Pelodiscus sinensis: one gene and its partners. The protein of the gene in region 2 interacts with the protein of the main gene of each other region in a biochemical or structural test. Links are inferred from orthologs where the notes say so. Each region holds a gene or a part of one and is shown on either strand. Other genes may lie near its edges. The genes, in order: THBS1, PLG and SERPINF2.

The links.
Region 1: the proteins of PLG (region 2) and THBS1 form a complex in vitro, tested with the Homo sapiens proteins (2 studies listed by BioGRID). The link is inferred for Pelodiscus sinensis from reciprocal best matches to the Homo sapiens genes PLG and THBS1.
Region 3: the proteins of PLG (region 2) and SERPINF2 form a complex in vitro, tested with the Homo sapiens proteins (2 studies listed by BioGRID, with this or other methods). The link is inferred for Pelodiscus sinensis from reciprocal best matches to the Homo sapiens genes PLG and SERPINF2.

Annotation. Positions count from the first base shown.
Region 1 is NC_134714.1:60,614,084-60,621,985, reverse strand, and holds the start of THBS1 (thrombospondin-1), read right to left. Parts: upstream 3,089-7,902; 5' UTR 2,755-3,088; intron 2,471-2,754; 5' UTR 2,445-2,470; coding exon 2,378-2,444; intron 1,453-2,377; coding exon 875-1,452; intron 264-874; coding exon 188-263; intron 1-187. UniProt on the Homo sapiens protein: Adhesive glycoprotein that mediates cell-to-cell and cell-to-matrix interactions.
Region 2 is NC_134713.1:113,979,022-113,986,782, forward strand, and holds the start of PLG (plasminogen), read right to left. Parts: upstream 3,084-7,761; 5' UTR 3,054-3,083; coding exon 2,927-3,053; intron 1-2,926. UniProt on the Homo sapiens protein: Plasmin dissolves the fibrin of blood clots and acts as a proteolytic factor in a variety of other processes including embryonic development, tissue remodeling, tumor invasion, and inflammation. In ovulation, weakens the walls of the Graafian follicle.
Region 3 is NC_134731.1:919,341-927,296, reverse strand, and holds the start of SERPINF2 (alpha-2-antiplasmin), read left to right. Parts: upstream 1-4,860; 5' UTR 4,861-5,003; coding exon 5,004-5,020; intron 5,021-7,956. Other genes in the region: WDR81 (WD repeat-containing protein 81), read left to right, coding at 1-367, 688-833, 985-1,164, 1,735-2,061.

The DNA of each region.
Region 1 (7,902 bases), on a different chromosome or scaffold from region 2:
ACCTGCTAATGTAGCTGTCACCAAGTCCATTTATTTATCTATAAGCCTGAAAAAATCCTGTATTTTCTTATACAATAATGATTTTCATATCAGCATACTTTCACTTCTGTCTCAACTTGTCTTCCTAGCATGCTGAGGAATCCTATTTTTAATAGGTCAGTAGATTCAGAAAAAGTTGTAGACTTACAGCTGGAGCAACCTTTGTTCCTTAGAATGGCTTCCAGGGTTGTTCCAAAGACAAACCGCACATTCTGCAGCACTCCCTGTTGGCAGAGGGAAAATGACAGTGTTTTGTAGAAACTATAGGGGAAAGACGTGTAATTTTGCCCAGGAAGCCAGTTTCAATTTCAACAAAAGTTTCAAAGGCACTAGAGTGAGGCATATGTCCAGAATGCTTCACTACCCCTTCTACCTGGTGATAGCAAGTCCTGTGTCTGAATACTCTTTTCACCAGCTCTCAGTGTATAACAACTCCACAGATGCACAATGTCCTCTTTTCCTCTATATTCCAGGCTTTATTTTTGTTTACTAAAATTTGCTAGACAACTGTTTATCTGATCAGTGTAGTAGGGTCAGAAACTTCAAGTTTTTCTTGTAGTCTGAGAAATTTCATCAGGTCTCATCTAAAACAAGTCTAGAGCTTTAAAGAGCTTGGGATTTGAAGAGGATTTTCTGCAGTTCACTTAATATGCAAATAGATTGTGGGGACTATTTATATTGAAGGTGGACAATTTTCCTGCACAAGCTGATCAGAACCCTCCTCTTCTCATTACTACTCTTTCTCTAGTGGGGGTAGGTTTGGACGTTGTGCCTTTAAGGGTTTCTCTCATTGAAGGAACCCCATGAAGATGCTGACTGAGAGAAAGAGTCTTACCTGGAAGTTGTCATTGACATCACCCTTGGCGATGCGGAGCTTGGCACTGCTGGCCAGGTCTCTGGTGAAGATGTTTTGGATGGGGATGTCCAGTTCAGCATTCTCCATTTTCTCGCACCCTACATACAGCTGGGCCCGGTCCTCCTGCACGAACAGGGTAATGTTCTTCCAGTGGCCAGTGGCTAATAGGGCATCCTCCACTGAAACCACCTGCTGCTTCCCATCACCAAACAGGCTCAGATCCAGAGTGCCTGCTTTTCCATTAGACACCAGGTTGAAGATATGGCCCGAACTGTCCTTGCGCTCCACAGCCAGTAGGGTGCCCCGACTCTTCTTGGCCTGCCGGAGAGTAGCCAGCAAAATGAAGCCCTTTTCAGCATAGATGGCATCCAGCAAATCTTGGAACTTGTCATCAGGCATGGCAGGGATGCGGCTGGCATCCTCAATGCGGTAAGCAGGGCTGGAAGGCTCAGGCCCCTTCACCAACTGCACCCCAGTTGCACGGCGTCCGGCTCCTTTGCGAGTGAAGCCAATGAGTTCGAAGAGATCAAATACACTATTATCATCTCCCCCAGACTCTGTGGAGAGACCAGAGTAAGCATTGTGAACAAAGATAGAAAGGGGCCAAATGGCTGTGCAACCCCTGGGATGGGGGAGCAGTCAGGTGCTGGGGGCTGAGAAAGTAGCTCAATCCCATTGTGAGCTGGTGTTCACTGAGGCTGAGTAGGGACTTTTAATGGAAGTTGAAGATCAGTCCAATTGGGTGGGGAGCTGATATAGCAACAATGCAAGTATGGGCAGCTATGAAGCTAATGCAGCCCTGTAGGGGGGCTGCTGTACAGAAGGGCATGGTGCATTTCTGTAGGGATGCTAGGAAGCACATCCTGACTTACATACAAAGCTAGCTGGACAATAGTGAGTGGTGTTTTGAGTGCTAATAGAGGAGGCAGCGAAGCACATCAGTAAGAACAAGGGGAAGAGAGCAGAGTGTCCACCCCATCAGATCCCATTTTAAAAATCTAAAGTGAGACTTTCACTGATTACCTATAGAGATCTCAGTTAGTACATAAATAATGTTTCTATATGGTCTGAGGTCTATGCTGAGACATAATGCACAATACAGGCCAGATAGGGGACAATGCCAGATTGCTTCTTTTAGTTCCTCAGCTACATTTTCCCCATGCATAATGTGGAAAGGTAGGTAAACCATGCTTTGCTTTGAAGTCCTTGAGTGTTCAGTCCTTCCTTGTTTGAAGGTTACATAAATTCTGCACAGGAGGAAATAATTTGCTGTTCATAACCACTAATCTGAATATTCCCCAGGCTAATGCATTTTTGTGGGCTAGAAATATCAAAGCAGCTCTTCATCACAGTTTAAGGTTTCATTCCTTCAAAGTCAACACCAAAGATACCAGATTTCTTTAAAAAAAATCCTGACCATTAATATTTACCCAATAAATCTCTTTATAATTGCCAAATATAGAATGAAGTAATTGTTTTTACCTGGGATCTGGTTTGTTGCATAGACACTTAGCATTAGGAGGAGAAAAAGTCCGCCTGATAGCTCCATGGCAAAGACCAGTCTTCAAGACAAACCTTCGAAAAATAAAAGAAAGTCTCATCCTCATTACATCCAGAAGAATTTTTGGGGGAGTCTGAGGCTGGCAAGCAATAGGTTTGTCAGGTACCCTGAAGATGAAAAGTATTGCAAAGGGCTAAGGCGCGAGCAGCGGGACTATTGAGGAGGACGTGTAGATAGATACACAGACCCCTCCCCTCCCATGAATTTCAGTTGCGTTTCCCCCCCCCCTCTTTAGATTTTGTCTTTTACAAATTACATGAAGTGGCAGGGGAAATTAAAGTGCTGCTTCTGCACTTACCTTTACAGGGAAAGATGCTGAGACCTTAAAGATAACCCCGGGGATGAAATATCTCCTGCAGCCACTGAGTGAAGAGCGATCAATATCCTTTGGAAGCCCTTGGATTCTCCTGACGACTCTTAGGTGAGTGATTGTCCCCTAGCGCGCTAGACACACACTCAGCAAAGCCCCAGCCCGAGCAGTGTCAGTGTCCCTGGTGCTGGGGCGCTGGTGTTCCAGGAGCAGTCCGTGAGTAGCCGCGAGTCCCGGTTGGTGGATCGGCTCGACAGCTGCTTGCAGCCCCCGCAGGTTTCCCTTGGCGCTCAGCCTCTGGCCAGTGCAGTGAAGCGGCTGGAGGAGCCGCTCTCGCCTTTAAGGGGTCGCGCACATTCCTGAAAGTCCCGCGGGCCAATCAGCAGCGACCGGGCAGGAAGCGGGCTGGTGTTTATCCAGTTACCTCACAACAAACGAGAAACAAACCGCTCAAAGGGGGGGGGGGGGGGGCAGGGAGGTGATCACACTCCAGCCTCAGTTCTCTACGCCCAGCACGTGGTAGGCAGAGGGCTCTGCCCCTCGCTGTGACAGACCTGTCCTGCCTCATTCGGGGTGCAGGGAATTGCTGGGAGTATAAACCGCCTGTGACCAGCCGGGCACTAGTTGGAATGAGGGAGAGCAAATTACCACCGGGCAGCGATGGTTTCTCCAGTCTGATTCCGCTGCTCCTGTTCCAGGAGCTAATCTCCTGATGTGATAGTGCTACAGTAACCGTGCGCTATTAACGCGTGTTCTTCACATTGGGTGGCCGCGGTGACTTTCTTTTTACGGGTAACAGGGCCCCCTTTGCGCCTGGATGTCTCTGTCAGGCTATTTGCACAGCGGGGGTGGGGAGATGAGACATAGACAGGGGCCTTCCTTCAGTGGGGGAACGTGTTAGGGCGCTCACTCGCTGCATGGCTTGGATCCTGGGCACACTTTCAAAAAGGATCAAGTTCGCGGCGTTAAAACCCGAGCTGTCCGCTTGGGGGCGCCCAGCGAATTCTTATCGCCAAGGCCTGGAGGAAATGGTTCCCAAATTAATCATTCCTAAAGGGAAAAGTGCATTTTCCCCTTTTATAGAATTAATGAAGTTGCATCTTCAAACTAGTCCCCGCCCTTCCCGACCCTGTCTCCCCTATGGTGCTTTCCGTGCGACTCTTCCGTGTGTATTTGAGGGAATGATGGTGTCACCAAATTCCTCATCAATCGCTATTCGTTTATGGGGGAAAGTCTCCTGCCAGTTCTTTTATCTGCTTCCTACACATCGTTCATTCTTGTCTTCTCTGTCCCCCGTGCGCTTCTGAGAGTAGACGCGCGTTAATGGCTGCGCGGAGCTGGGCACGTCCCTGGCCCGGGTGGCGGCGATTGATTTCTCAAACCTCTCCCAGTGTACGCGGTGTCTCTGTCCAGTGCACACAGAACCCGTCCCGTGCCAACATTACTCCAGCTGTCTGGAATCCCATTCATGTCCTCTGGCTCTGACGTGAGAGGGAGCAGCAGCAGCTCTTCCGCAATGGAGTGGGTGAGATGAAAGGTATGAACTCATCATCTTTCAGCACTGCCTTGTTACCAGGAGCCCCAGGTGACCGATCTTCTCTGGACAACAACCCTCCAATCCCAAATTTGAAAGCAGGTCAGAGCAGGGACAGGCAGACTGGACACACGTCTCTTTAAATTCACAGAGAGTGTGCTAGAGTGAAATGTGTGGGAGTGGGTTGGATAGGGGGCAGGATATATGTGACTTGAGCAGTGTGTAATTAGTGCTTGCCAGTAATAATGCTGAGTTTGAATGTAGTATAGTCTCTGGTGGGCAGTGCAGATAAATAGTATGTGAGGGAGGTGTAAGTCATGCATAGGTAATATGAAGTGTGTGTCAGGAGGGTATGTAAGTATGCAGTGTTGTGTGCAAGTAGTGTATGAGTGCAGTGTATGTTATGTGCAGAAGGCATGGCTGAGAGACTTGGGTGACCTTTTGAAAACGCCTATAGAAAAACCTGGAACATCAGCACCAGCACTTTTTTCAGAAGATCCTCAACAGAAAGTGTGAGAATCATCACACTAAAGCCAGTGTCCCCAAAGAGGCCACCTTCTTCAGGTATTGAAGCCCTGATTATCCAGCACCAGCTAAGATGGAGTGGGCTGTGTGTGCACATGACAGGTATATGCTTACCAAAACAACTGCTGTAAATCCAACTCACCAAAGGAGAAAGGAAACCAGGAGTCCAAAAGAAATGCTTTAAAGACATGCTTAAGATAAACATAATGGCTGTGTCTACACTGGGCCACTTATTCCGGAAAATCAGCCGCTTTTCTGGAATAAGCTGCGAGCTGTCTACACTGGCCCTTGAATTTCCGGAAAAGCAACGACGCTCTACTGTACAAAATCAGCCGCTATTCCGGAAAAACTATTCTGCTCCCGCTCGGGCATAAGTCCTTATTCCGGAACACTGTTCCGGAAAAGGGCCAGTGTAGACAGCCCAGTAGTCTTTTCTGGAAAAAAGCCCCGATCGCGAAAATGGCGATCGGGGCTCTTTTCCGGAAAAGCGCGTCTACATTGGGATGCACAGATGCTTTTCTGGAAAAAGGGCTTTTCTGGAAAAGCAGCCTGCCAATGTAGACGCTCCTTTTCCGGAAAAACTGAAAACGGAATAGTATTCCGTTTTAAGCAGTTCCGGAAATTCATGCCAGTGTGTAGACAGCCAATGAGATATGACATTGACACCTCACACTGGGAGACAGTAGGCCAGTACTGGGTTAACTGGTAAAGACCTGTTAAGAAAGAAATAATTTGTTTCTGAGGAAAATCCCCTGGCCTTGGTCACACACACACACACACACACACACACACACACACACAAAAACAGAAAAGATGAGAACTGTCACGCAGCAGTTGCGGCCTAACCTTGACTCCCAACATCATTGCAATGTCTGAGAATGAGCCTGTGGCTCAGGGATCCCATTCTTCAGTCACCAAAGGACCCATAATAAATAAATGTGTGTGAGGGGAGGAATAGGTCAGTGGTTTGAGCATTGGTCTGCTAAACACAGAATTGTAAGTTCCATTCTTGAGGGGACCATTTAGGGATCTGGGGCAAATCTATCAGGGTGAGTACTTGGCCCTGCTGTGAAGGCAGGGGACTGGGCTCAATGACCTTTCAAGGTCCCTTCTAGCTCTATGAGATAGGTATATCTCTGTAATATTAACCTCCAGGGATTGCTGATGATGGAGCATGTATAAGTCATGTCTGAGAATAGTCCAGACTGAGAACAGTGTTGATAGGTGTAGGAAGTACAGTTTGAGGGGTGCTGTAGCACCCTCTGGGTTTGTGCCCAGCATGCCCTCACACTGAGGATTCAGCCACTGGCCTCAAGGTCCCCTCCCCTGGCCTTTCTGTCACTGCCCTGGGTTACTGGTCCTTAGGGCACTGCTGCCAAACCCAGGATCCTGGTGGCTCTGGCCCAGGGCTCTGCAGCAGTCTTCAGCTATGGCTTTAGCTGTGGTGGGGTGGTAGTGTGCATAGGGAATAGGAATAAGTGTATTGGTTCTTGGCCTTTTGGCTAAGATCAAGATCAATCAAGTATAGTTGGACAGCTGATGGTATCCAGCACCATCCAGTGGTCCGGAAACATCCATACGAAGCACATCACATGAAGCACATCACAGGATGAGTGAACAAGGCCACCAACAAGAGACAACATCAGGGTAATCACTCACTCCCTTACTCCTTTCCTTTACAGACTATCTTTTTCACAGAAAACCCACAAGACACCGACAGACCCGGGGACATACTCCACTCATGTACCTATGTGCTTTACTGCCATGGACGGTGATGCTATAAGCATTATGGGTGGCATTCCCAAGACCACTTATTCTCCGCTGCTTTACAAACATAAGAATGGCCATGCAGGATCAGACCAATGTTCCGTTTAGACAGCCCAGTATCCTGTCTTCCAACCATGGCCAGTGCCAGATCCCCCAGAGGGAGTGAACAGAACAGGAAATCATCAAGAAATTCCTCTCCCATCACCCATTCCCAGCCTCTGTCTGAGGTTAGGAACACCATTCCCACCCATCCTGGCTAATAGCCATTGATGAACCTAATCTCCATGAATTTATCGAGTTCTTTCTTGAACCCTGTTAAAGTCCTGGTCTTCACAGCTTCCTCTGGCAAGGAGTTCAACAGGCCGACTGTGCGCTGTGTGAAAAAAAAATCCTTCCTTTTGTTGTTTTAAACCTCCTACCTATTAATTTCATTTGGTGACCCCTAGTTCTTATGTTATGGGAACAAGTAAATAACTTTTCCTTATTTACTTTTTCCATGCCAGACATGATTTTATAGACCTCTGTCATATACCCCTTTGGTCTCCTCTTTTCTAAGCTGAAAAGTCCTAGGCTTTTTAATCTCTCTTCATATGGGACCCATTCCAAATCCCTAATCATTTTTGTTGCCCTTTTCTGAAACTTTTCCAATGCCAATATATCTTTTTTAAGATGAGTGGACCACATCTGTACATAGTATTCAAGATGTGGCACATAACATGGTTTTATATAGAGGTAATAAGAAGTTATCTGTTTTATTTGCTATCCTTTTAAAAATTATTTCCAACGTTCTGTTTGCTTTTTTGACTGCTGCAGCACATCAAGTGGATGTTTTCACAGTGACTCCAAAAGCTCTCTCTTGAGTAGTATGGCTATATTAGTCACCATCATATTGTATGCATGGTTGGGATTATTTTTTCCAGTGTGCATTACTTTGCATTTATCAACATTAAATTTCATTTGCCATATTGTTGCCCAATCACTTAGTTTTGTGAAATCTTTTTGAAGCTCTTCAGAGTCTGCTTTGCTCTTAACTATCTTGAGCAGTTTGGTATCATCTGCAAATTTTGCTACCTCACTGTTTATCCCTTTCTTCAGATAATTTATAAATAGGTTGACTAGGATTGGTCGCAGTAGGGACCGTTGGGGAACACCATTAGTTACCTCTCTCCACACCTCGGATTGGGACAATGCTGTTTATGTATACTATGTATAATATGTACCTCACAAACTGTGTAATCTGATTCTTGTAACTTTCCATAACCCAAGCTTGACCCCAGATGTATAGTGCCTTGCTTTGTAACTTATGTACC
Region 2 (7,761 bases):
TTACTAACTCTGAAACTTCAGGGTAAAGGTTAAACTTAAAAGAAGTCCAAATATGTTAAGATATAAAAACAAACTGTATCCAGACAACCTTGCCTGTGCCCTATAGCAAGATTATGCAATAACGATACAATTCTGATTAAGGCATTTTAATGTCAATGGTCCAAAATTAGATTAAATTAATTTTAAAAACATTTGATTTTTTTTCTTTTCCCTCATAGTATCACTATAGAAAACAGTACTTTGAGAAAACAAGGAAAATGTATGTGGATAATGTTGAATCTTGTTATTCACCCAGCACTGTGTCTGTGTGTGATATGTACCTATTGCTATTTTTTTTAAGTCTGTGGAATTCTCTAATACTAACAAGATGTTATTTTCTTATTCAGAAAAGAAAGCCAAGATTCACATTTACAGCAGTTTGAGAAATGCCCATGAACATATTGGCAAGGCCAATGCTGGTTATGTTTCTTGAACATGTTGCCAACAGAGGACAAAATCTTGTAAACACCTAATCCTTTCGATTTTAATTGGAATTATACATGTCAAAATCCAGAATTTAAATTCACTTGGATATGCTTTAACATCAAATAATTACTATATTTTGTTATAGACGGTCCCCTATGTAATATTTCTAAATCCTAAGTCTATTTGCTAGAATCTAGTCACACCTTTTACCTTTGTAAGACCTGATTCTCCTATACCCCTCACTCCCACATAATCAGGGCCAGATTAAGGGGGGAAGGCTAGCTGAGCAGCTGCCTGGGGCACCAACCTATGGGGGTTAACTGATGGCAGCTGTAAGGGGTGCCACGCGCCCAGGGCCGGGGGCTGCGTGGCGCCCCTTAGAGCTGCAATCAGGCGCCACGTGCCCGATTGCGGCTGTAGGGTGCGCAGTGCTCTGGGGGGTGGAGCCGCACATGCGTCGCGCGCCCGCTGCCCGGGACGCAGGAATGGCTTGAGCCGGCCCTGCCCATAATTACAAACACAAAATATCCCTGATTTCTTCTATCATCTTTCCGTATGATCTCTAGCAAGATAAAGTTGTTACATAAGCATATGAACTATTGACTTGATTGCTAACCTTACTTTTAAAACCGCTATTGCAGCAGTTCATGTAGGCATATACAATGACTGTAGCAGGAAATGCCATCAGGTTCCGATAGCTGAGTCAAGTTTCATTTGTACAGCACACAAAGTACTTACTCAAAATGTCCATAGCACTTGCTGATCTTCATAAAAACAAATATGTATTTTAAAAGGCTTAACATATTGTGGAGCATTTCATAAATCCTCTTGGTTTTTATCTTTTGAAAAAACTAATCTTATGGCGTCTAGACGACTGAAGATTAAATTCCAATCTATTACCCCACACAAATAAGTAATAAGAAAGCCTCTTACAGGAAGCTGGCCACAGAAGAGACTAACATCTCCATGCTATAGTGGGATGCTTTCTTTTGTTTCTGCTTAAAAAAAACAACAACTTTGGATTTAATAATAAACAAAAAAACCCTAATCTGTAATACTTCACTAAATAAATGAAAAGCACCCAGCTTTGGGATATTTGATCAGACCTCGGGCCTGATCTAAAGCCCACTGAAGTCCATGAGAGTCTTTTCATGGACTGAAATGGCTTTTATATTAGGCCTGTATTGACCTACTTTTCAAAGGTGCTGAGCCCCTGCAGTTTCCATTGGCTTCCATGGGATTTGTGGGTACTCATTACCTCTGAAAACCTGGCCACTTGGAAATCTGCTCATAACACATTAAAGTTACTTGTTCAAAACAAAAACATTGAAGAGCGGGTACATAATTTTTCCTGGGACTTTAGCAAAGAGAAGAATCAATATGTCAGAGCTTTGTTGCCACTGGGCCTGTGTCAGAAGTTTCCTAATTTACACCATTTAGTGCTACCAAATCCTTTGTTTAAGGCTTATTGAATGACAAAGTTGCAAATAACTCAACATGAGTGTTATTTGTTCAAAGGGCTGCATGGTACAACCCAATCACAAAAATTAGCAAATAACCTAATGGTATTGAATCAGAAGAACAAACAAATCAGGAAATAAGACTTAAATAATATATTATACAATATAGTGTATAATAAGTTATTTTAAATGTAGAGGAGGCAAAACAAAAATTCAGCAGATTCTGGTGCTTTGAAGGAATTTAGAATCTGAACTAGGGCTCTGGATAGAAATACTGTGGCTAGTGCTTGCTCTTTTAATGGGAAAGCCTAATCTCTGAACTAAAATGCTCTTGAAGCATTTAAAGAGGTGAGATCCCCAAGGGGTCACAGGCCTGGCAATAATAATAGTAGTAATAATCAAGTCAGGTCACTGAAGGGTGCACTTTAAGCACTGTTTTAACAAAAACACTGCTCTCAGATTACGCTAGATCTCCAACCCCCACGCCCCTCCACCCCCCTCACACACATTTTTTCAGGCCACCGTAAGCAGTGCTTTGAAAGCATCTGAAATTGAGATAGAATTTGAATTTTGCAGTTTGAACTCTTCTTTAATACTAATAAATACTAGCAATAGCAATATGTCAGGACTGCAGGGCCCCCTTTCTGTAGGTGCCATGCTTTGACACAATAAATAAAGATTTGAGAGAAGTGGCCCTGGGCTGTGTGGCTTTCACACACATCTCTAAAGTCTAGAAAAGTTACAGATTTGCACTGTTAAATATAGAGGTCAGAGATTTCAGATTTGGCAGCTAAATACAAGTGTCCTGATTTGCTGAGTTGCTGTAACACCACAGCTCCCATTTTCCCCTCTAGTAGCTGTGGTTACTCAGCATCTCTACTAATCAGGTCCTTTGAATTAGGCACCTAAATATGGATTCAGGCACCCCGTTTCAAGCACCAAATTTGGAATTTTTGGCCAGTATCTCACTTTGATTAAAATGCAATATAAACAAACCTTACCTGGGTATAGAAATAAAAGTAACAGAAAGACGGCTTTGCTAATCCCCATTTTGGGACAGGCTGGCTCTGTGCTGAAAGCTGTGTTTAATGCTGTGTCAGTTTTATTGACTTGCACTCGACTTAGCATCCAGCAAACAAGATAGTCAAATTAAGTTAATCATTCTCCTGGTTCTGTGACCCACTCTGTCCCGATCTAAATGTTCAAATATTACCTTGAATTGAAGATCTTACAAAATAATGTTTCAATGTTTGTATTAGATTCTGGGAGAAGATGAAAGTGCTCTCCTATCATACAGGGCATGCTTTAACTCTGAAATTGTTAGGCCTCATTTTGCCAACCTAAAGACTGGGATAGTATTACTGAAAAATACAGAAAAGGCCATGGAGCAGAATGCACGTTGCTGTTAGTTTGGGTCTTGAAGGGCAAGGCCCTGACGCTAATCTCACACTGCTCTGTTGACATAGATGCAGTTATGCCTGATTTATACTGTTAATTATATTATATTGTCATACTGCAGTTTCATCAAAAAATCCCTCTCTCATTGTATTTGAATTTTAAACCTACTCTAGGGTTGGATTTTGTTGGTGGGGGTTACTTACAGAGGAGGGCTTGTTTTGTTTTAATTCCTAACAATGTCTGATCACTATTGACTTTGACTTTAGGTCTATGATATCTATGTTGCTACAGTTGGGCTCCTCCTTTCCACAGACATAGCCACACCCACACCAAATCTTCTAGCCAGTGCGCCACACCCCTGTCCCAGACTGATTTCAAACACTACCAGATTAATTCCTGCAATGCCCTTTCTCTTGGAAAAATTGCATTTTAACATTGTTTTGTAGCCTCCCAGACTATGTTGGGTTGGTGAGGGAGCCTCACCTCAAACTGTGGAATCAAACATGCAAGTAACTCAGGAGATCCTGAGGGAGAGGAAGTTCCAAACGGACTACGGATAAGGTGAGGGTATAAATAAATTAAGGAAAAGCACATGTAGATTGGATGGGAGCTGGATTGAACTCCACATGTGTTATTTTGCATAGGAGCCCTATACAGCCTAGAGCTGTTCCTGCCTGTAGTTCTGTGAAACACTCTCACTTTCTGGACAAGATCCATTATTACCCTGCTATAGAATTCCTGCTGTAATGAAAATTATTCCTAGGCCCTCGGTGAAATACTGCAGAGAGTAGGCTCTCATTAGAGAACTCTGGTAGCAGACTAGAGAAATGTGATTTTCATTAGCAGCAGGGATTAGTCCCATTGCAGGAGAAGATGAGTTGTGCAGGAAAAGATCAGTTCTGGGAGGTAGCTGATAATTACGTAAGAACATAAGAATGGCAGTACAGGGTCAGACCAAAGGTCCATCTAGTCCAGTATCCTGTCTGCCGACAGTGGCCAGCACCAAGTGCCCTAGAGGGGGTGGACCGAACACAATCATAGAATCATAGGACTGGAAGGGACCTCGAGAGGTCATCGAGTCCAGCCCCCCGTCCTCAAGGCAGGACCAAGCTCCGTCTACACCATCCCTGACAGATGTCTATCTAACCTGTTCTTAAATATCTCCAGAGAGGGAGATTCCACCACCTCCCTTGGCAATTTATTCCAATATTTGACCACCCTGACAGTTAGGAATTTTTTCCTAATGTCCAATCTAAACCTCCCCTGCTGCACTTTAAGCCCATTACTCCTTGTCCTGTCCTCAGAAACGAAGAGGAACAAATTTTCTCCTCCTCCTTGTGACACCCTTTTAGATATTTGAAAACCGCTATCATGTCCCCCCTTAATCTTCTTTTCTCCAAACTAAACAAGCCCAGTTCATGAAGCCTGGCTTCATAGGTCACGTTCTCTAAACCTTTAATCATTCTTGTCGCTCTTCTCTGTACCCTTTCCAATTTCTCCACATCTTTCTTGAAATGATCAAGTGATTTGTCTCGTGCCATCCATCTCCAGCCTCTGACAAACAGAGGCCAGGGACATCATTCCTACCCCCTGGCTAATAGCCTTTTATGGACCTAACCTCCATGAAATTATCTAGCTTCTCTTTAAACTCTGTTAGGGTATGTCTACACTACCCCGCTAGTTCAAACTAGCGGGGGTAATGTAGTCATCCGCAGTTGCAAATGAAGCCCGGGATTTGAATTTTGCATGAAGCCGGCCGGCGCCATTTTTCAATGCCGGCTAGTTCGGACCCGTGGAACGAGGTGTACAGCTAGTTAGGATTAGAAGCCTAATCCGAACTAGCTAGTCCGTGCCGCGTGTAGCCGCGCGGCACGGGGTCCGAACTAGCCGGCATTTAAAAATGGCGCCGGCTGGCTTCATGCAAATGAAGCCCGGGAAATTCAAATCCCGGGCTTCATTTGCAAATGCGGATGACTACATTACCCCCGCTAGTTCGAACTAGCGGGGTAGTGTAGACATACCCTTATAGTTCTAGCCTTCACAGCCTCCTCTAGCAAGGAGTTTCACTGGTTGACTATGCGTTGTGTGAAGAAGAACTTTCGCTTATTAGTTTTAAACCTGCTACTCATTCATTTCATTTGGTGTCCTCTAGTCCTTATATTATGGGAACTTGTGATGGGGTGAAGCAACCACGTCACCAGCTGCCACCCGGAAGCTCGGCCACGGATGGTGAAGCGGCGGGGTTAGTACCAGCCCCGCCGGGATGGCAGGAGATCGGAGACGGGAGGGGTCATCACCGTGTGCCGGTGACATCAGCTGACGTCACCAGCGCAACCGGGGCAGGCTGGGGCGGGGCACCCAGAAGTGGAGGAAGAAAGGGGCCAGGCTGGGGATAAAGGCATGGCCGACAGAGGTCTCAGGGGGGAGGAAGAGTTCGTAGGAAGGGGCGGAGGTACCGGGAAGAAGAAAGAGGCAGCCTAAAGCAGGGAGGTGAGGGAGTCCCCGGAACAGAGGGAGGGGGAAACGGGCGGGATTGTGCAGGCCCAGGGAGGGTCGCGGAGCCTGTGAGCAGGCGCGTTTAGGGGCAAGCCCCCACCTGCTTTCATCAGGAGCCGAGCTTCTGGTGTTAGGGCCCTGGGCCGGGGTCCGGGAGTGAGGGAGGGCCCGGACCCCCACCCCGCCAGCGGGAGTGGTGGCCGTGCAACCCGCGGCATTGGAGCCCTACCGAGGGAAATACACGGAGCCAACTGGGGCCTCTGGGACAGAACTAATGAATAACTTTTCTTTATTCACCCTCTTCACACTACTCATGATTTGATATACCTCTATCATATCCCCCCTCAGTCTCCTCTTTTCCAAACTGAAAAGTCCCAGTTACTTTAGCTTCTCTTCATATGGGACCCGTTCCAAACCTCTAATCATTTTAGTTGCCCTTTTCTGAATCCTTTCCAAGGCCAAAATATCTTCTTCGAGGTGAGGAGACCACATCTGTACACAGTACTCAAGATGTGGGCGTACCATAGATTTATATAGGGGCAGTAAGATATTTTGTGTCTTATTTTCTATCCCTTTCTTAATAATTCCTAACCTTCTATTTGCCTTTTTGACTGCCACAACACACTGTGTGGACGTTTTCAGAGAACTATCCATGATAAATCCAAGATCTCTTTCCTGATTTGTCGTAGCCAAATTAGCCCCCATCATACTATATGTATAGTTGAGTTTATTTTTTTCCAACGTGCATTACTTTACACTTATCCACATTAAACTTCATTTGCCATTATGTTGCCCAATCAATTAATTTTGTGAGATCATTTTGAAGTTCTTCAGTCTGCTTCTGTTCTGCCTATCTTGAACAGTTTAGTATCATCCACAAACTTTACTATCTCACTGCTTACCCCTTTCTCTAGATCATTTATGAATAAGTTGAATAGGATTGGTCCTAGGACTGACCCTTGGGGGACACCACTAGTTACCCCTCTCCATTCTGAAAATTTACCATTATTCCTACCCTGTGTTTCCTGTCTTTTAACCATTTCGCAGTCCGTGAAAGGACCTTCCCTCTTATCCCATGACAATGTAACTTACACAAGAGCCTTTGGTGAGGGACTTTGATAAAGGCTCTCTGAAAATCTAAGAATACTGTATCTACTGGATCCCCCTTGTCTGCATGTTTGTTAACCCCTTCAAAGAACTCTAATAGGTTAGTAAGACACGATTTCCCTTTACAGAAACCATGTTGACTTTTGCCCAACAAATTATATTCTTCTACATGCCTAACAATTTTATTCTTAACTATTGTTTTGAATAATTTGCCCGATACTGACGTTAGACTTACCGGTCTGTAATTGCCAGGATCACCTCTAAAGCCCTTTTTAAATATTGGTGTCACATTAGCTATCTTCTGGTTAGTAGGTACGGAAGCTGATTTAAAGGATAGATTACAAACGACAATTAACAGTTCTGCAATTTCCCATTTGAATTCTTTTAGAACCTTTGGGTGAATGCCATCCAGTCCCGGTGATTTGTTAACGTTAAGTTTCTCTATTTGTTCCAAAACCTCCTCTAATGACACTTCAGTCCAGGACAGTTCCTCAGATTCATCTCCCACAAAGGATGGTGCAGGTTTGGGAATCTCCCCAATATCCTCAGCAGTGAAGACTGATGCAAAGAAATCATTTAGCTTCTCTGCAATAGCTTTGTCATCCTTGATTGCTCCTTTTGTATCTCGATTGTCTAGGGGACCCACTGTTTTTTTAGTAGGCTTCCTGCTGCTAATGTACTTAAAACATTTTGCTATTGCTTTTTGAATTTTTGGCTAGCTGTTCCTCAATCTTTTTTTGCCTTTCTTATTACATTTTTACACTTAATTTGACAGTGTTTATGTTCCTTTCCATTTATCTCACTGGGATTGGACTTCCATTTCTTGAAAGATGCC
Region 3 (7,956 bases), on a different chromosome or scaffold from region 2:
GAGCTGCCCCGCGGTGCCCACATGCTGTGTGGGAACTGGCTGGCCTACTGGCAGTACGAGATCGGGGTGAGCCAGCACGACTCCCGCTTCCACTTCCACCAGATCAAGCTGCAGAGCTTTGTGGGGCACACGGGGGCCGTGAAGTGCGTGGCCCCGCTCGGCGGCGAGGACTTCTTCCTGAGCGGCAGCAAGGACCGGACCGTGCGCCTCTGGCCCCTCTACAACTGCGGGGACGGCACCTGGGAGACGGAGCCGCGGCTCACGTACGCGCAGCACAGGAAGTCGGTCTTCTCCGTCAGCCCGCTGGAGGCCCCGCAGCAGGTGGTGAGCTGCGACGGGACGGTCCATGTCTGGGACCAGTTCACAGGTGAGGGGAAGCCAGGCTGGGGTGAGTGGCAGAGCTGGGACCAGGCCAACGCTAGTTCTGCACCCAGCCCTGCCCGCCGCCGCTGGCTGGCACCTCTGCAGTGGCGCTGTCCTGCCTGGCCAGCTTGCCGTGCAGGGTGCCCTGTGTCCCCCTAGAGCCGGGCTCTGTCCCGTCCTGCGGCCGACGCCTGGGGGGCCCTGCAGCTGTGCCGGGCTGGGCACACCCAAGGCCTGGGACTGCTTTGGTCTGGGCATGGTGCCCCAAGCCGGGACGCCCGCCTGCTGCTTGTGCACCTCGAGAGCTGCTTGTTCTTTCCAAAGGCAAACTGCTCCGGACCTTCGACGCTCCGGACAGCAAAGTCCCCATCACTGCCATGGCCACCATGCCTGCTCCCCACAGCAGCATCGCCGTGGCCAGCGCAGACTCGGTGCTGCGCTTCATTGACCACAGGAAGCCAGGAGTTCAGGTACTGGGGGCTTGGCTGTCCCTAGCCCTCAGGGGCACCTTCCGCACAGCTGACCCTGCCTGCAGGGTGCGGGTCTGGCCTCCCTTTGCTGCCCCTGCTGGGGATCCCTCCCGGTGCCCAGTAACCGGGGCTCCCTGCCTCTCCCCGGCAGCACGAGTTCCGGCTGGCCAGTGGGGTGAGCGCTGGACTCATCCGCTGCTTGGCCATCAGCCCCAGTGGGCGCAGCGTCCTGGCTGGCTTCTCGTCGGGCTTCATTGTGCTGCTGGACACCAGGACGGGGCTCATCTTGAGGGGGTGGCCGGCCCACGAGGGAGACATCCTGCAGCTCAAGGTGAGAGGTGGGGCGGGGGTGATGGCAGGGCTGGGGGGTCCTGCTCCCCTGGCTCTTGCCGCCTTTCCAGTGTGGGTGCAGACGTGCCCGTTTGCCCCCCCCGCAAGTCTCCAGCTCTTGGCTGACTTGGGCCTGGTGCGCTGGCTGGGGGGCTGCCGTGGGGCGGCCCAGCCACAGGAGCTGCGGTGCGTGGGCGGGTGCCGCTCGCAGCCCGTTCTAATGAGTAACTCTTGTCCATATTTACCTGCCCCCAGCAGCGGGGCCGCAGCGTGTCCTTGACCCAGTTGGGGTTAAGCAAAGTTCACCTGTGGGGGCTGTTTACCTCTCCTCGCGGGTGGCGCTGGGCGGGCGGGCGGGCGAGGCGGAGACGCGCTCCGTGCACGGTCCCGTGGGGGGCCAGACGTCCGCGGTGAGCCAGAGATGGGCGGGAGCCTAGGGCCACGCTCCTGCCAGCGAGAGAGGCCGGGGCGCCCTGGGGGACAGGCTCCTGCCGGCAGGGTGGGGCGCCGGGGGGCGGGGGCCAGGCTCCGGTGGTGCAGACCTGGCTTCACTGCACTTTCTCACCTGCAGGCTGTAGAGGGCAGCGTGCTGCTCAGCTCCTCCTCCGATCACTCGCTGACGGTCTGGAAGGAGCTGGAGCAGAAGCCTTTGCACCAGTACAAATCGGCCTCCGAGCCCGTCCACGCCTTCGACCTCTATGGCAGCGAGGTGGTGACCGGCACGGTGGCCAACAAGATCGGGGTCTACTCCCTGGGGGAGTCCTCTGCCCTGCCCACCAGCACAACCAAGCTGAGTTCGGAGAACTTCCGCGGCACCCTGACCAGCCTGGCCGTGCTGCCCACCAAGTGCCAGCTCCTGCTGGGCTCTGACAACGGGCTGATCCGCCTCCTGGCGTAGGGGCCTCCGCGGCCAGCTCTGGGGGGTAGCACCTAAGGCCAGTACTCCACTTCTGGGCAGGGCTGAGGCCTTTCCCCGGGGGCCCCAGTAAATCCCCCGCCCTGCCTACCTTCAAGAAGCCATAACGGAGGGACCTCCACTGCCTGCTGCTGGGGGGAGTTTGGGCGTTGCGGGGCAGCGTCGCCCCTCTGGAGGCCTGGAGCCTTCCACACCGCGTGTGCCTGAGCTGCTTAGGGACGTGGGCCGGGCGCGGGGCGAGGCACACGGCCCCCACCCTGCACACTCAGCCCCCCGGGCCGGGCTAGCGCCGCACTCGGGTCCTCAGGGCAGTGGGAGGCAGTGGAGCCAGCTCTCTACCCAAGGCAGCCACCACCTGCTGCCCGCCCTCGGTCGGGGGTGGGAATGCACCTGCCCCAGCGGCCAGGGGGCAGGAACTAGATTTGGTGGGGGGTGCTCCTAGCCAGGCCCCCTGGTGGGGGAGGGGGAGGAACGTCTGCCCCCCAGAGGCAGAGGCCAGAGGGGATTTCTTTTGCCTGCTGTGCTGGGAGCAGCCCCCTCAGTGCTGGGCGGAGTTGAGGCTCGGGGTGGGGGTGGCTTGAGCCCTTCCTTGCTGTCCTGCCTCTCGCTCTACCCTAGCGGGCGGGACCCCACAGGCCTGCCACTCGGTGCTGCCCTCGGCCCCAGGATGCCCCCTCCTGCCGGAGACCGGCCCTCTCTGTGCCCTTGCGGGGGCTCCCTGGGCCTGCCTGCCCGCCCCGCTCTGAGCCTTTGCAGAATGGTGCTGGGCAGGCGGGGTCAGGGCCAGCCTGTGCCATGGGGTTAACCATGCACGTCCCTCCCAGGCACTGGGGGGGGCTGGCACTCTGCCAGGCTGGGAGCCTTTGGGGGTCTCTACTCCCCACAGAAGGGGGCTGAGCACTTAGTCCCTCGCTGCCCCTCGCCTGGGGGGGGCTCTGTCCCTTGTTGCCTATTAACTCTTTGCAATAGATGTAAATATTTCTTCTAATAAAGAGACCATGAGAGGAGCCTTTCTGTGTGTGCTGCTGTGGGGGATGGGTGGGCGGGAATGGGGAAAAACACTCGTGAGCGTGGGGGCCTTCACAGAGTGATACATGCTGGTGCTCTCATGCAGCCAGGCCTAAAACATCCTTGGACTTTCTAAACATTCCTGCCCCAAAAAAGTGCTGCAGTCAACATGGGTCAATTCTATGTTAGACCTTGTCCTCCCTGATAGAGAGGAACGGATCACAGAACTAAAAGTTAAATGGTAGCTTAGGTAGCGGTGATTATAACTTTTCACATTTATAATGTGCAAAGAGGAAAAACACCAGACCCATAATCTATATTCCTGGTGCTCTAATAGGGCCAGTTTCACAAAGCTGAAAACAAGCATGAGCCAAACACTTGTGAGGAAGAATTTGATCAGAAAAGAAGTGAATGATAAAATAGGACTCTTAAGAACATCTTCCTCAATGTCCTTTCTCCTCCTCCTCCCCCCCCCACAAACAAGGAAAAGGGCTGTGCTGATTAAAAAAGTCACCTGGGCTAGAGAGGAATATAGGCAATTGTATAAAGTTCAAAAACAAAACCAACAGAAAATCCCGACAACAAAATGTAACAGATGGAAGAAAAGGGAAAGCTATTAACAGTTTAATATGAATTTGAAGGCAGTAACTGTAGAAAATTGATAAGGGAAGCCAAGGGCTGCAAGGAGAGATCAATGGACAGGAAGGTGTTTTTTAAATAAATGGGGGTGGGTGGGGTGGAAATGAATGTTTACAATGATATTGGTACATTAGTATATGAAAATGGCAGAATTCTTAATACAAAAAATGCCATTTTCAATTAGTATTTCTGTTCTATGTTGCGGGGCGGGGGGGGGGTGGACATAATGCAGTCTTGATTGGTGGATGATAAAACTCTTTCCGTTCCACTAGTTACCCTGGAGGATGCTGTTCAGATGCTATTAGAGTTTGGTATTTTAAAATCAGCAGGTCTAGATAACTTGCAACTAGGAGCTTTAAAAGAGCTGGCTGAGGTGCCTGCTGGACCGTTAACGTTGATTTTCAGTATTTGAGAGGAGTGGGACAGAAGACTAGAAGATCGCTCATGTGCCAGTTTTTGAAAAGGGCAACTGAGTTGACCAGTCAGGATGTCAGTCACAGCCAAGGCACTGGAGTGACGGCCACGGTAATTAAAGAACTACATGAGGATTCTGTCATTAATGCAGCTCAACCAGCGTTTATGGCCAAACAGCTTGTCAGACTCATGCTGTGGTGGTGAAGGGAAGTGTGTTGGCCTAGCAGACACCCGTAAAGTATCTGACTTGTCCATGTCATGCTGATTCCAATAAGACCAGACTAAATGGAACATGGCCTGTGAAATGGGCTAACTGCCCAGTAAATGGCGCCTTGGGGCGGCTCCCAGGGACAAGGGAGGGGCAGCAGCCCTCTTGCCCTCGCTCAGGGCTGTACCAGCTGACCAGTAATGCCAGGCCGGGTCAGCCCCAGGAGCCGGGTGAGGCTGAGGGAGCCGCAGCCGGAGGAGACGTGGGGTTAGAGGCCAGAAAGCTGCAGTTTCTCACAGAAAACTTAAGACTAGAGGGGGGGAGTGGCTACGAAAGCCCAGCCCTGTGGCTCTGAGGCACGAGTGGCGGGTCGCCCTGCCCCACAGGCACAGGGGGGGGACTCTGCACTGGCCCCACTTCAGACCCGGGTCCCTCCTGTCCTTGGGGTGCAGCGACCCGGAGCCCCACAGCGACCCCCACTGCTCCAGCCCAGGACAAATGTTTAACCGGACGTTCAAAGTCAATATTTGTTGAAAGAAATAAAGGGCGGTAGCGAAGGTCGTGCCTGCACTGCCCGGCAGGCGTGGGCTGGACACGTCTGCACCGCCCCATGCAGAGCCGTCGGCTGGGCTAGAGAGGGGCCGCACCCGCAGCGATGCTTCGCAAACGGAGGTAGGGGCAGAGTTGCTGGGGGCCAGGGCTGCTCCAGGGCTCTGTGTAGGGGGGGGCTGAGAGCCAGGGGGGTCAGGCCTGCAGTGGAGTCTGGGGGGGGGGGCTGAGAGCCAGGGGTGTCAGGGCCTGCAGTGGAGTCTGGGGGGGGGGGGGCTGAGAGCCAGGGGTGTCAGGGCCTGCAGTGGAGTCTGGGGGGGGGGCTGAGAGCCAGGGGTGTCAGGGCCTGCAGTGGAGTCTGGGGGGGGGGGCTGAGAGCCAGGGGTGTCAGGGCCTGCAGTGGAGTCTGGGGGGGGGGCTGAGAGCCAGGGGTGTCAGGCCTGCAGTGGAGTCTGGGGGGGGGGGGGGCTGAGAGCCAGGGGTGTCAGGCCTGCAGTGGAGTCTGGGGGGGGGGGGCTGAGAGCCAGGGGTGTCAGGGCCTGCAGTGGAGTCTGGGGGGGGGGGGGCTGAGAGCCAGGGGTGTCAGGCCTGCAGTGGAGTCTGGGGGGGGGGGCTGAGAGCCAGGGGTGTCAGGGCCTGCAGTGGAGTCTGGGGGGGGGGGGCTGAGAGCCAGGGGTGTCAGGGCCTGCAGTGGAGTCTGGGGGGGGGGCTGAGAGCCAGGGGTGTCAGGGCCTGCAGTGGAGTCTGGGGGGGGGGGCTGAGAGCCAGGGGTGTCAGGGCCTGCAGTGGAGTCTGGGGGGGGGGGGGCTGAGAGCCAGGGGTGTCAGGGCCTGCAGTGGAGTCTGGGGGGGGGGGGCTGAGAGCCAGGGGTGTCAGGGCCTGCAGTGGAGTCTGGGGGGGGGGGGGGGGCTGAGAGCCAGGGGTGTCAGGGCCTGCAGTGGAGTCTGGGGGGGGGGCTGAGAGCCAGGGGTGTCAGGGCTGCAGTGGAGTCTGGGGGGGGGGGCTGAGAGCCAGGGGTGTCAGGGCTGCAGTGGAGTCTGGGGGGGGGCTGAGAGCCAGGGGTGTCAGGGCTGCAGTGGAGTCTGGGGGGGGGGCTGAGAGCCAGGGGTGTCAGGGCATGCAGTGGAGTCTGGGGGGGGGGCTGAGAGCCAGGGGTGTCAGGGCTGCAGTGGAGTCTGGGGGGGGGGCTGAGAGCCAGGGGTGTCAGGGCTGCAGTGGAGTCTGGGGGGGGGGGCTGAGAGCCAGGGGTGTCAGGGCCTGCAGTGGAGTCTGGGGGGGGGGGGCTGAGAGCCAGGGGTATCAGGGCTGCAGTGGAGTCTGGGGGAGGGGCAGAGAGCCAGGGGTGTCAGGGCTGCAGTGGAGTCTGGGGGAGGGGGGCTGAGAGCCAGGGATGTCAGGGCTGCAGTGGAGTCTGGGGAGGGGGGCTGAGAGCCAGGGGTGTCAGGGCTGCAGTGGAGTCTGGGGGGGGGGCTGAGAGCCAGGGGTGTCAGGGCTGCAGTGGAGTCTGGGGGGGGGGCAGCTGAGAGCCAGGGGTGTCAGGGCTGCAGTGGAGTCTGGGGGGGGGGGGCTGAGAGCCAGGGGTGTCAGGGCTGCAGTGGAGTCTGGGGGGGGGGGCTGAGAGCCAGGGGTGTCAGGGCTGCAGTGGAGTCTGGGGGAGGGGGGGGCTGAGAGCCAGGGGCGTCAGGGCTGCAGTGGAGTCTGGGGGGGGGGGGCTGAGAGCCAGGGGTGTCAGGGCCTGCAGTGGAGTCTGGGGGGGGGGCTGAGAGCCAGGGGTATCAGGGCTGCAGTGGAGTCTGGGGGAGGGGCTGAGAGCCAGGGGTGTCAGGGCTGCAGTGGAGTCTGGGGGGGGGGCTGAGAGCCAGGGGTGTCAGGGCTGCAGTGGAGTCTGGGGGAGGGGGGCTGAGAGCCAGGGGTGTCAGGGCTGCAGTGGAGTCTGGGGAGGGGGGCTGAGAGCCAGGGGTGTCAGGGCTGCAGTGGAGTCTGGGGGGGGGGGCTGAGAGCCAGGGGTGTCAGGGCTGCAGTGGAGTCTGGGGGGGGGGCGGCTGAGAGCCAGGGGTGTCAGGGCTGCAGTGGAGTCTGGGGGGGGGGGGCTGAGAGCCAGGGGTGTCAGGGCTGCAGTGGAGTCTGGGGGGGGGGGGCTGAGAGCCAGGGGTGTCAGGGCCTGCAGTGGAGTCTGGGGGGGGGGGCTGAGAGCCAGGGGTGTCAGGGCTGCAGTGGAGTCTGGGGAGGGGGGCTGAGAGCCAGGGGTGTCAGGGCTGCAGTGGAGTCTGGGGGGGGGGGGGCTGAGAGCCAGGGGTGTCAGGGCCTGCAGTGGAGTCTGGGGGGGGGCTGAGAGCCAGGGGTGTCAGGGCTGCAGTGGAGTCTGGGGGGGGGGGGCTGAGAGCCAGGGGTGTCAGGGCTGCAGTGGAGTCTGGGGGGGGGGGGCTGAGAGCCAGGGGTGTCAGGGCTGCAGTGGAGTCTGGGGGGGGGGGGCTGAGAGCCAGGGGTGTCAGGGCCTGCAGTGGAGTCTGGGGGGGGGGGGCGGCTGAGAGCCAGGGGTGTCAGGGCCTGCAGTGGAGTCTGGGGGGGGGCGGCTGAGAGCCAGGGGTGTCAGGGCTGCAGTGGAGTCTGGGGGGGGGCTGAGAGCCAGGGGTGTCAGGGCTGCAGTGGAGTCTGGGGGGGGGGTTGAGAGCCAGGGGTGTCAGAGCCTGCAGTGGAGTCTGGGGGGGGGGGGCTGAGAGCCAGGGGTGTCAGGGCTGCAGTGGAGTCTGGGGGAGGGGGACTGAGAGCCAGGGGTGTCAGGGCTGCAGTGGAGTCTGGGGGGGGGGGGGGCTGAGAGCCAGGGGTGTCAGGGCCTGCAGTGGAGTCTGGGGGGGGGGGCTGAGAGCCAGGGGTGTCAGGGCTGCAGTGGAGTCTGGGGGGGGGGCTGAGAGCCAGGGGTGTCAGGGCCTGCAGTGGAGTCTGGGGGGGGGCTGAGAGCCAGGGGTGTCAGGGCCTGCAGTGGAGTCTGGGGGGGGGGCTGAGCCAGGGGTGTCAGGGCTGCAGTGGAGTCTGGGGGGGGGGCTGAGAGCCAGGGGTGT